Arabidopsis thaliana: one gene and its partner. The protein of the gene in region 2 interacts with the protein of the main gene of each other region in a biochemical or structural test. Each region holds a gene or a part of one and is shown on either strand. Other genes may lie near its edges.

Region 1 (6,055 bases), on a different chromosome or scaffold from region 2:
ACGTTGTGTGTTTGTTGTCCTTGTCAAACCAGCAATGCTGCTTAATTTATTTAGATAGGAACCCAAGTTTAAAGAAGACTTTTTTTTTGGTCAAGTAAGAAAATGTCAAAACCTCTGAAACTTTCTTTATTTTGTTTATAAATACATTACTCCATGAATACGTTACAAAGATCTTAATCTCACAAGTCTCACATTTTCTAGGTGGACCAACCAAAACCCAAAATCTTTAATTCCCTCTATAGTGCTCTTTTCTCTTTTCGAAATACAACCGTAAAAACATGAAGAGAGACCGGTCCGATTACGAAGAATCCATGAAGCATATAGACATAGTAGAAAGTCTAATGATGTTATCTCGAAGTTTCGTGGTCAAACAAATCGATGTAAAGCAATCTACCGGAAGCAAAACGAACCATAATAACCACTTCGAATGCAAAACGTGTAACCGGAAATTTGATTCCTTCCAAGCTCTTGGAGGTCATAGAGCTAGCCACAAGAAACCTAAGCTGATCGTTGACCAAGAACAGGTGAAGCATCGTAACAAAGAGAATGATATGCATAAGTGTACAATTTGCGATCAAATGTTTGGGACCGGTCAAGCTCTAGGCGGTCACATGAGAAAGCATAGGACGAGCATGATAACCGAGCAATCGATTGTCCCTTCTGTGGTTTATTCCAGACCGGTTTTTAATCGTTGCAGTAGCAGCAAGGAGATCTTGGACTTAAATCTAACTCCATTGGAAAATGATCTTGTGTTAATCTTTGGGAAGAATTTGGTTCCACAAATTGATTTGAAGTTTGTGAATTAGTAGGGTTTTAAACCTTTCTCTGTACTTTTGTTGTTGTTTTTTTCTCTCTTGCTACACATTATTTCATTCTTTCCGTCATGTATGCATACACAATTTGTTTGAATAAAAGGTTTCAATTCTTGCAATGAGTGATAAAACATTAATAGTTGAAAGTTTGAAACAGAACCATTCTCGAATGTATACATAGAATCCAATATCATTGGTGTGTGAGTGAGATAAACTGATATTATCATAAGTCATAATCTGATGTCAGAGAATCCATTCCAGAAATATGGAATACGAATTGTGTCCTTCACAGTCACACTATACCATTAGGGAAAGAGAGAATCTTAAAAGAATACGTAGAAACACCATCTCATATAGAAGAAAAGCAAAAGAAGATTGATTTCCTTTTTCATTTTTTCTTTCCAAATACCATTTCTCTTTCACTAGCCAGATTCTCTCCTTTGACAGGCGTCGTGGACCCAATTTTTATGTGCCGCAACATGCTGATTTCTGAGTAGCTTGAGATGTTCCCGCACCTTGGTCGGATTGGTTGATTTTGATTGTTTGCGGCTACAAAAATGATAAGAAATTCGATGACGTTAGTAAGGTTGATACACATACTGAAATGTGATTTTTACCACAATTGCAATGTATGAATGATGACAGTGGAAATTAATTCTATAGCTCAAACGAACCTCAGCTCGTGCATCGGTATCTGCAAGTCTTTGCTTAATGTCTTTAGCAATAGAGAAGAAAACTTCCTCAACGTTTAAGTTAGTCTTGGCACTCTGCAATTAGCAAACTCATCAAAGTTAACCATTTAAAAAGAATTAGACCTTTCCCTATATCTATTGAAATGTAACAAAACATAGACAACAACTTACAGTCTCGAAAAACTTCATTCCATATTCATCTGCAAGAGCTTGGCCCTTAGATTTTGGCACAGCCTGGAAAAACAAAGCAAATCGGTGTATTAGCCAAATAGAAACATATAATATTTAAACAGGACGAAGATAGGAGGGAGGGTAAAAGAAGAGACTCTTTTGCTTTCATCCATATCTGCTTTGTTCCCAACTAGAATCTTGTTGACACTATCAGAAGCATGCTGCTCAATGTTACGGATCCAATTCCTGATGTCTGGAATTGAAGAAAACAAAGGATGAAAAAGAACAAATTAGTTGAGTAGAAAATAATAAAGCTAGCAAATGGAAAAATATAAAGTTTAGAACCGTTGCAAGAGCTTGTTGGGTGGCATAAGGACTGCAAGTAAAAAGTAAAGAGAGTACTTACTGTTGAAAGATGATTCATCAGTCACATCATACACAAGCAAAATCCCCATGGCTCCACGGTAGTACGCTGCAATAAGAACAAACTACTCAGGTGTATTCCAGCGAGGAAGGCAAAGATGCATAAATAACAGCAAAAAGAGAAAACGAAAAGCAAGATCGAAAACACACCAGTTGTGATTGTGCGGAACCGCTCCTGTCCGGCAGTATCCCAGATTTGCAGCTTAATTCTCTTCCCATCGAGCTCAATAGTCCGTATCTTAAAATCAATCCTGTCAAAAACAAAAAGCAACTTGAGTAAGAACAGTGAACTACATAGAGGACGTGATAACACAGTGTCATTGCATGAAGACATCATACCCAATAGTTGTAATGAAACTGGTGGTAAACGAGCCATCTGAGAAACGTAAGAGAAGGCAACTCTTACCAACACCTGGTACATGAAAGAAAGCAAAAGTCAGATAAAACAGAGACATTAGAATAATCCACTGGAACATAGTGAAACACTTACTTACAACAATCAACAAAGGAATATTCAAATCAATTTGGCTAAAGCATTTGCGGCATTAACATCTAGAGAATATAATTAAATAGCTACAGCATTCATTTGTGATTCTCCTCCATCCTAATACCAAACTAAGAAGACTATGAACATCATATGCTCACAATTGTTGAAATGAGATCCAAATCTGAGTAAGATGTGTTACTCAAATCACTGTTGTCTCAAGATCCTTCAAACAAAACTTAAATTGTAATCAACAACAACAAAAATCGAGAGAATCAATCAACAAAAAGATAGAGATTGAATAAAATGCAGGGAACAAAAGGTAGTATTACGATCTGAATGATATAGAAACCTACCGCTGTCTCCGATCAGCAGAAGTTTAATGAGGTAATCGTAATCAGCACGAGCTCTAGCAGGAGGAGCAGCCATTTCTTAACAAAATCAAGTAATTTCCGAGAAACGGATCACTGGTAAGCAAAGAGAGCAAAAACTGGAGACAAAATTTAAATCGAGAATCAATTGTGTAGAACCTAAAAATCGAAAGAAGGAAGTACCAAATCTACTCGGGGAAGATAGATCGTCGGAAGCAAGCAAGACAGTAACCAGACGGCCGTTGAATTTTTTTCTTCCCCCGATTGGCTTTTTTCGGAGATTCAGAAGTTTTTTTTTTTTTTTTGGTTAGAGAGAAGAGGGAGAAGGAGAGGGAATGGATCTGGACCGTTGGATCTTGTTCGTGGAGATCTGTGTTGGTCCGGCGCGTGGTCTTCGGTTACGGTTTGATAAATTTCGAACCATGGGCCTTGGGCTAGTTTTATTTTTGTGTGCTAAATTTATGATTTGGTGTCCACTAAATGTTTAGTTTATTCTTACTGATCCAACCCAACAGGTTACAGAATTGATGAAGTATATTCATACAGTATATGTATTTTTCTATATTTCGTTCTGAGTTGCGTTGCGATTAAGCTCTGGGAAAAAAAAAGTTGTTTCAATCCCTTCACTTGTAAATAAACTCAATTATTTAACTCCAAGGGGACGCAAAGGTTAGGCAAAATAATAATAATAATAATAAGAGTTAGGCAAAAAGAGAGCGATTGACAAATTGAGGAAATTTGAATATATTGTCGTCGGTGTTAAGCAAATAATCATCCAAAGAATAAAGCGTGGATAGGAATCTACAATGATCCTACGTAGCATCTAATGTACTGCATGAGCATTCGTTTACTCAACCCCATCCACCGATCATCCGCTGCGGACAAGTCCACATCTTCACTTCTTCACGACCAATGAGGTAATGCCACGACGAAAGCCTTTCCTAAAATTACACGATCCATTTCCTTTTCTAAATGGATACGAAGAGTGTTTCCATTGACATTAAAGGAAAGCTAACTTTACTTAAAATATCGTCCTTGAGGTAACAAAAAAGTTTAAGCCCCTATACTGTCTTATTTAATGTTTTTTTTTTACTCTTACACTATTTAGTTCTATGTTAATCCAAATTTATCCAATTATTTCCGATATCTAACTATTATCCAAAAAAATTAGGGAATGACACGACACGACGTAAGCCTTTCCTAAATTATACGATCTAGTTTCCTTTTCTAAATGGATACGAAGAGTGATTCCATTGACATTAAAGGAAAAAGTTAAAGCATACATTCTCAGATTTGTTTTGAATGTAGACTGCAATTATTACGTTAATGTGATCGTCTTATTAATGCTTTTAACTCCAATTTACAATGAGATTCATGTTTATCCAATTTTATCCCAATCTCATTAAACTCTTACCATACAAAAAGTCAGAAAGATTATCCAAAACCTTCCGATATGAAAATGGTAATTATTTGAAATGCACGTGTATATTTATCATAAAAATTAATCATAAAACGGTGCTTACGGTGATGGTAATTGGTGACTTGTATCAATCAATGCCAGTAACCGATTATAATACGAGTTCAAATACCAAAAAAAAAAAGAGCTGTAAACAACAAAAATCCATATAATATCTAATACTTTTAAAAGTATAAATCTAATAATTTAAAATAATAATAAGTTAGTAATTTATTTTAAACTCCTAATATCAAAATAGTATAGAAATCCTATACTATCATAGGAATCCTAAAAGTATAAATTATTTTAAATTCTACTAATTTAATAGTTACCAGCTGAAAAAAAAAATAAAAAAAATAAAAAAATAATAGTTACCAAAATTACTATCATAGACAATCCATGCATTTTTGCATGAATCCTAATACTATATAAAATACGATAAACACCCATATTTATCATTTTACACATCTTTTTGTTTGAATTATCCATATACATTATGTATAGAAAGAAAATAAAAACGAATATTCACTTGACAGATTAACATATGCTTTTCTTTTGATTGCAGTTTGTAATCCACCGACAGAGAAATTGCGATGTCATAAATCTGAACACGAATTTTCGGTGCACTCGCCAACACCTGATCTCAACTCTCTCCAGCATATTCCCCAAATTAACAGTAGCTAACGGAGACTTAACGTGGACTCCTCGCAATCCGAGTCACTTTAACGTGTATCAGACAGCCAAACCTTACGTTGACCCCACCGCCGTTAGGAATTCCGTCTATGTCTCTTTTTCCATCATCCAATAAAATCTTGCCACATTGACACTTTCGGGTCCGGACATATTCCAAAATTAAAGAGAATTTAATTTATTGTTTTCCTTCCAGAAAAATATTAATATTCTTTCTAAACTAAAAAATGGAGTCTTCAAATAGCACAGAAGCAGAGACATAGAGCGGGAACGCGTTTAGTCACAGCTTTCTTCTCCTTTAGCTTTTCTCTCTACACTTGCTTCTCTCTCTCTCTCCTTTGGGTTATCCTTCTTGAGATCTGTGCTTGCGTTTCTTCTTCATTCGACGACACTTTATCTCGGGAGATTTCAGATTTGTCGATTTGTTCAGGTACGGATTTCGAAATGTTCTTTCAATCGGATTTGTTCTTCCTCGGAAGGTTTCTAGGGTTTTGGGATTGGGTGTCTTTAATCTGTTTGCATAAGCCATGAACGAGTTTTTTTGTTCCCCCGAGAGATCTTTGTGACTTGTAGATCTGAGTTGGGTTCCAAAATATTCAATCTTTGTGATGTATATCTACATTTTTAGATTATCAAACTCCATTAAAGAGAAAATCTTTGCTCGTTTCTCTTAAGGCCCATTGCTTTTTATCTGAAGATGATTTCAAGAGAGTGCCCTGTTTTTTTGTATAAATAAAATTTTGATCTTTTGCTCGCTTTATACACATGTGGGAACGGTTTTGTCGGTGGAGACATTTATGGATTCGTGAACTGCTGCAAAAATTATGCGTTTCTTGGACGTTTCTGTAACTTTCTCTTTATTAGATTTTGTATCTTGTGTCTCTGTGTCCACCATTGCGTTGTGTGTATTCAATTGATTTCCCCAGGTGTTGAAGATTGTTATTTATATATTTAAC
Region 2 (5,192 bases):
TCGCCGGAATCTTCGACAAAAGCATCGGTTTTGGTGATTCAGCAGTACAACGGCACCGGAATAGCTCCGGATTTGGGTGCGGCTGAGACGGAGGTATTGACTTCTACGGATAAAGACTCTGATTGAATGAATCATTGGTTAAAAACAAGAACGGTTCGGTTCGGGTCAGGGGTTGGTTTACCATAGTTAGTGAAAAGTTGGTTAATGAATACGGTTTAATCAAAATGACTGTACTTGGCTTTCACTGTTTCATCTTTTCTTTCTTTTTTGTCGTCACTGTTCATCTTTAAGTTTTTTTGCTTTTGAAAGTAAATGGTTAAATGATGACAAAAAAAAAAATAATGGTTGTTGTAAAAAAAGTTATCTACTTTAATCGGAAAAATAATAAATTTAAAAATCCAGTCATTGAACATAAAACTAAAAACAGAAATGTCAGAAGTGGGGTTTGAACCCACGCCCTCTTACGAGGACCAGAACTTGAGTCTGGCGCCTTAGACCACTCGGCCATCCTGACTTTTGATATTGTTTTCTACTACAAACTATATATAGTGATTAACACCTAGTTGTCTACCTTACGTATGTTGCTTACTTTAAGTAATTATCCAGATTTGATGGTTATCATACCGAAAGCGTTTGGTATTGTGGAATCCACTTTTTGTGTGATTATTTTTGTCGAGAAATCGTGAAATCGCAATTTTGGCAAAAGAATTATGAACAAATTTTTTTGGAAAATTATCAAATTGCGTTTAACCTAGTTCATATACCAATCATTTTAGCTTTTCCTATGAACAAGATGTTGAGATGATGAAAGAGATGGAATGGGAAGAATATTATTAGTCAAATAAAAACAAGAAAGATTCTTATGAACTAAAGTTAGATCGCAGTAGCAGTGAAGAGCGAAAAACCCACGAAACAATTTGAGTTTATGTGTATGGACCAATCCTCAGACATGATGCAAAATTGACATGACGAATACCATCATGGAGAGCTGTTAAAAGGATGAGAAATTAACTAAGACAAATAACTAACAACAATAATTATCATCCATCCGTGTTCTCTCATAATCTAAATATTTTTAGTTAAAACCCCCAAATTTATAATGAACATAATAATAACAAGAGATCAAAGGGTTTATCAACCAACAGCTTCTAACAAAACATGTCTTGAACCATTACTACGATTCCAATGAGAGAGTAACTCACATTCCTTAATCCTTCTTCTTGTTCAGAGCTCCTCTTGGAATCTTGCTTATGACCTTACGCAATACCTTCTCATCAAGTACTGCATATTGCTTTTTGATCTCCCTCATCGCCTTCTCCCCATAGGCATCTACTTTGTCCTCATACTTCTCGTAGAGTACAGGAATGGTGAAGAGAAGGACAGTAGCTGGAAGCAAGAAAGAAAAGCTGGTTATCAAGATATGCAAGTATGATTCCTATCAGATTAAATGCAGTAAGATGTAAATGAATCGTTACCAGTGTAGAACAATGTCAAGAAGTTGTAGCAGCTGCCAATAATGGACAAAACCCACAAGCCAGCAATTACCTAAAACATGTGCAAGCAAGTATTAGCATTTATGAGGAACATAAGAAAACCGCTTTGCATCGAGGTAGATAACATGAACAATACCAGGATAAATTTCTTGACATCTTTTCCTGATGCAATGTTCCTAAGAAGGGTCAAACCACGATTGATTTCAATCCTTAATCCAGAAACAAGTTGAAGAATAGGATCTTCAGGGATGTGAACTTCCGGGATGTGAGGAGTTGACCTGAGGATAAGAACTCAGTTGATCAGGCAGTTATCTCATACTTAACACTTAACATATAAGGGATGTTGTAAGAACATACTTGTGGATGAATGTACAAGCATTAGACCACAAGAACAATGCTGCAAGAGCAAAAATCGCAAAGTGACAGAGAAAAGCGAGGAGATGGTATTCGAATAACTCGAATAAGACCCAAGACGCAGTTACAGCACCCAAGACTCCACCAGATACCTTCTTGTTCCTCCAAAGGAATATATCAGCAGCTACATGCAAACAATGAATCCAGATTCAACATAGTTTCTGAGTATTTCACAAGATTTAAGCGTACTTTCGAGCAAAGCAGACAATTAAGCACTCAAATACACTCAATTTTAGCTTCAAATTAGAGCAACATTCACTAGATCGAGCAAAATCACTATGTAAGATACAAAATCGAGTAAAATCAGAGTTCAAAGTGAAGAAATAGAGATAGATCCATACGTTTTCCACCACCGAGAACCTTGTGAACAGGTTTCTCCCTTCCGAAAAGTCGGTAAATCTTTGACTTGAAGGACGACGACGAAGACGATGTAGATTTCTTATCGTCGTCGGAATCGGACAGAGAAGACGAGTCACCGTGGCCATGGATCTTCTCAACAATCTTCTCCAAGATCGATTCCTCGTGCTTGTGGTCTTCCACCATTTTTGTTGATTCTACAAACCTCCGAGAAGAAGAAAAAAAAACCTAAAACTCTTTACTGATTGAAGAGTGTGGGAGGAGACTGTGACGAATAAAAGCGTGTGCTTCAGATTTAATCCCACCCCTTGATTTAAAACATTTAATCCAGTCCGTTTGATTCGGGTCTGGGCCTCGAGTAGGTAACCGTCCACGGTGGAAAATCAAACTATTTATTTTGTAGCAGATGTAACATATTTGGCGTGGAACTAACGGTCGTTAATTAATGTGAATATTCCCGATAACGTCTCCGTTAGTGGAACGTTAGATGTCGGCGGATAGGATCCAGCATTGGGCCCATTTATGGGATTGTTGGTACAGTATTAAGGCCCATTTATTACTGATCCATTTCATAGTAAAAATAAAAAATTGTTAGGCATAGTAAAATTGTTATGAGAATATGTTGATAGAATGAAAATGCTCCTAGATGAAAGATGATCATACACCTGTTGATTAAACATTACAAGGTCACAGATTATATATATTGACATCTCAAAAATTAACCAAGACGCTGCGTTTTGGAGATATTGGATTTCGAAGACCCGGAAGATAAGAGGAGAATAGTCAGTGACTCTCACGCACGTGGGGTTTGAATTGATGACTCTGGTCTCTTGGCCTCGAGATCTAACTTCTTCCGTGGGATCCAATTTTGAGCTGAGTCATGACACGTGTTACAACACGTGTGCTCCACTGTGTCGACATCACTCTTGAAGGTAAGATTTTTTGGAGTAATGGCAAACCCAGAGATCAACAAAATCAGGTTTGACAATGAAAGCTCACTTATTTATTTATGTACTTTTCCAATAATTTGATTAGTCCAAATATATTATTCTATTTGGATATTCATTCATATACATAATTACATACACATGCAGTGTTAGAAGTGAGTTTAATATGGAAGATTCGTCGTCTAGTGTGACATGAAATTCCACCATTTCATATAATTAGATTTTCTTCTTATATATATAATTTTATGCATCTAATCGTGTGGATGAGAATTGTCCTTCACCTAACCAACCTTTTCGAAGAAAAAGAGAGATTTGTTTCTTAATATATCTTCAGAAAGAGAGAGAGATTCGATGACAAAAAGGATAAGAGATTCTTGGAGACCTCAAAAATCTACTATCGTGGGTCTAAGAAGATTACGTGGCTCGTTTTAAGACCCTTGCATAATCTTAAAGTTCTTACCTATTTTTTTTTTTTTGTCGTAAAGTTCTTACCTAATACAGTAATATATTTTTATATTGTATAAAATATTATACATTAATTAATCAAAAAAAAATTCCAATTCAATCCTGAAACAGTGAAACCCATGCGTGCCAAAGCCAAAAATCTGACTACCTTGCTAAGTGCTAATCATTACCCAATCAGAGTTCATATCAGGAATATACCATATCCATAAGAGCTATATACTAATTACTTGCAAAAGTTTGCACCAAACCTTACTACGTACAAAAGAAAAGATCGTAGATGGTCAAAATTGTGGCTTACTATAATGGCTTATTATATAGTTATTTTTAGATAGCTAAATTTCTTGTATATACAATTTTGAGTTTTACGTATAGAAAAAAATATCATATTTGAGTTTGGTAAAAAGGATGAGTAAATAATTTGGAGATTTCAACCTTCATGTTAAGTTTTCATTTTCGATTAATTTTATCTAATTTTTTATTTTAATTTCTTTGATAACCAAACAATGTAATTTAGACTAATCCTTTTGGACTTATAAAACAAAAACAATTTACTATATATGCAAGCTGTAATAGGGTGATTTGAGTTCTAGTCCACTAAATGTAAATGTTACGTACGTTAAATTTGTATTTGTAATGTGATAAAAAAAAATCTAATGACCTGTATTCATTAACTTAAAAAAAATTCTAATTAACTTATAGAATGGTATAATATCTTATCATATTGTATTATTTTTCAAATAACACTAAAAATTTTGACTCATAATTAATAAAACGTTTAAAGCTTTTTAGGTGAAATTCTTATTTTTATATTTTGTAGAATAGTACAGTTTTGTCACTAAGTATTATTTGTGGTCGCATTTAAATATCAAGTAGCGATATTTAAAAACTTTGCAAGTTGATATAAAGAAGAAAAAAATTATAATATAATAAGACAATGATATAATATAACAAAGCTAATATCTTTCATCCACACACATATATATTAGATCTATATATATATATCTCATATGTATACCTAACCTTACCATATTTGTATTGAGAATTGAGATTAATTAGATCTGTAAAACTCTCTTAAAATAGTTAACCAAGAACACCAAAACTACAAAAATGTTCCCTTTCTTGAAGCAACGGTCGAGGTCGGTCCACGGTGAAGATGCACCGTCATCTACAGAGTCCACAGTCTCCGTCGCTGCCGCAGATATTGGAGGAGCGTGTACGACACTCACGGTGTGGAGAAAATCGCTTCTGGTGAGTTGTGAAGGATTCACGGTGATAGATTCGAATGGAGATTTGATTTACCGGGTCGATAATTATGCCCGAACCCGACCCGAGGAACTCATCCTCATGGATAAAGATGGAAACTCCCTCCTCCTCATGCATCGTACCAAGGTAAATATATGTACAAAGTATTTAGAATAAACTTATTTGAATATGTTTTAGAATATGGATCATTATATTCATTGTACACATCATCCTTCAAAATTACAATATCACATTTATTTTAGATTATTAAGAA

Evidence for each region. Proteins that work in one complex are often made in the same cells at the same time.
Region 1: the proteins of BTI3 (region 2) and RAB8 form a complex in vitro, tested with the Arabidopsis thaliana proteins (one study listed by BioGRID).

The regions. Positions count from the first base shown.
Region 1 is NC_003074.8:19,875,254-19,881,308, forward strand, and holds RAB8 (RAB GTPase homolog 8), read right to left. Parts: upstream 3,540-6,055; 5' UTR 3,442-3,539; coding exon of another isoform or gene 3,289-3,441; 5' UTR 3,137-3,288; exon of another isoform or gene 3,014-3,136; 5' UTR 3,012-3,013; coding exon 2,939-3,011; intron 2,511-2,938; coding exon 2,438-2,510; intron 2,350-2,437; coding exon 2,249-2,349; intron 2,148-2,248; coding exon 2,082-2,147; intron 1,929-2,081; coding exon 1,831-1,928; intron 1,739-1,830; coding exon 1,676-1,738; intron 1,580-1,675; coding exon 1,487-1,579; intron 1,362-1,486; coding exon 1,278-1,361; 3' UTR 979-1,277; downstream 1-978. Other genes in the region: AT3G53600 (C2H2-type zinc finger family protein), read left to right, coding at 279-806; AT3G53611 (uncharacterized protein), read left to right, coding at 3,289-3,441. UniProt on the Arabidopsis thaliana protein: Involved in membrane trafficking from the Golgi to the plasma membrane.
Region 2 is NC_003076.8:16,633,488-16,638,679, reverse strand, and holds BTI3 (VIRB2-interacting protein 3), read right to left. Parts: upstream 2,652-5,192; 5' UTR 2,451-2,651; coding exon 2,249-2,450; intron 2,032-2,248; coding exon 1,851-2,031; intron 1,772-1,850; coding exon 1,630-1,771; intron 1,546-1,629; coding exon 1,476-1,545; intron 1,387-1,475; coding exon 1,208-1,386; 3' UTR 772-1,207; downstream 1-771. Other genes in the region: CHX18 (cation/H+ exchanger 18), read left to right, coding at 1-126; AT5G41590 (LURP-one-like protein (DUF567)), read left to right, coding at 4,784-5,065. UniProt on the Arabidopsis thaliana protein: Plays a role in the Agrobacterium-mediated plant transformation via its interaction with VirB2, the major component of the T-pilus.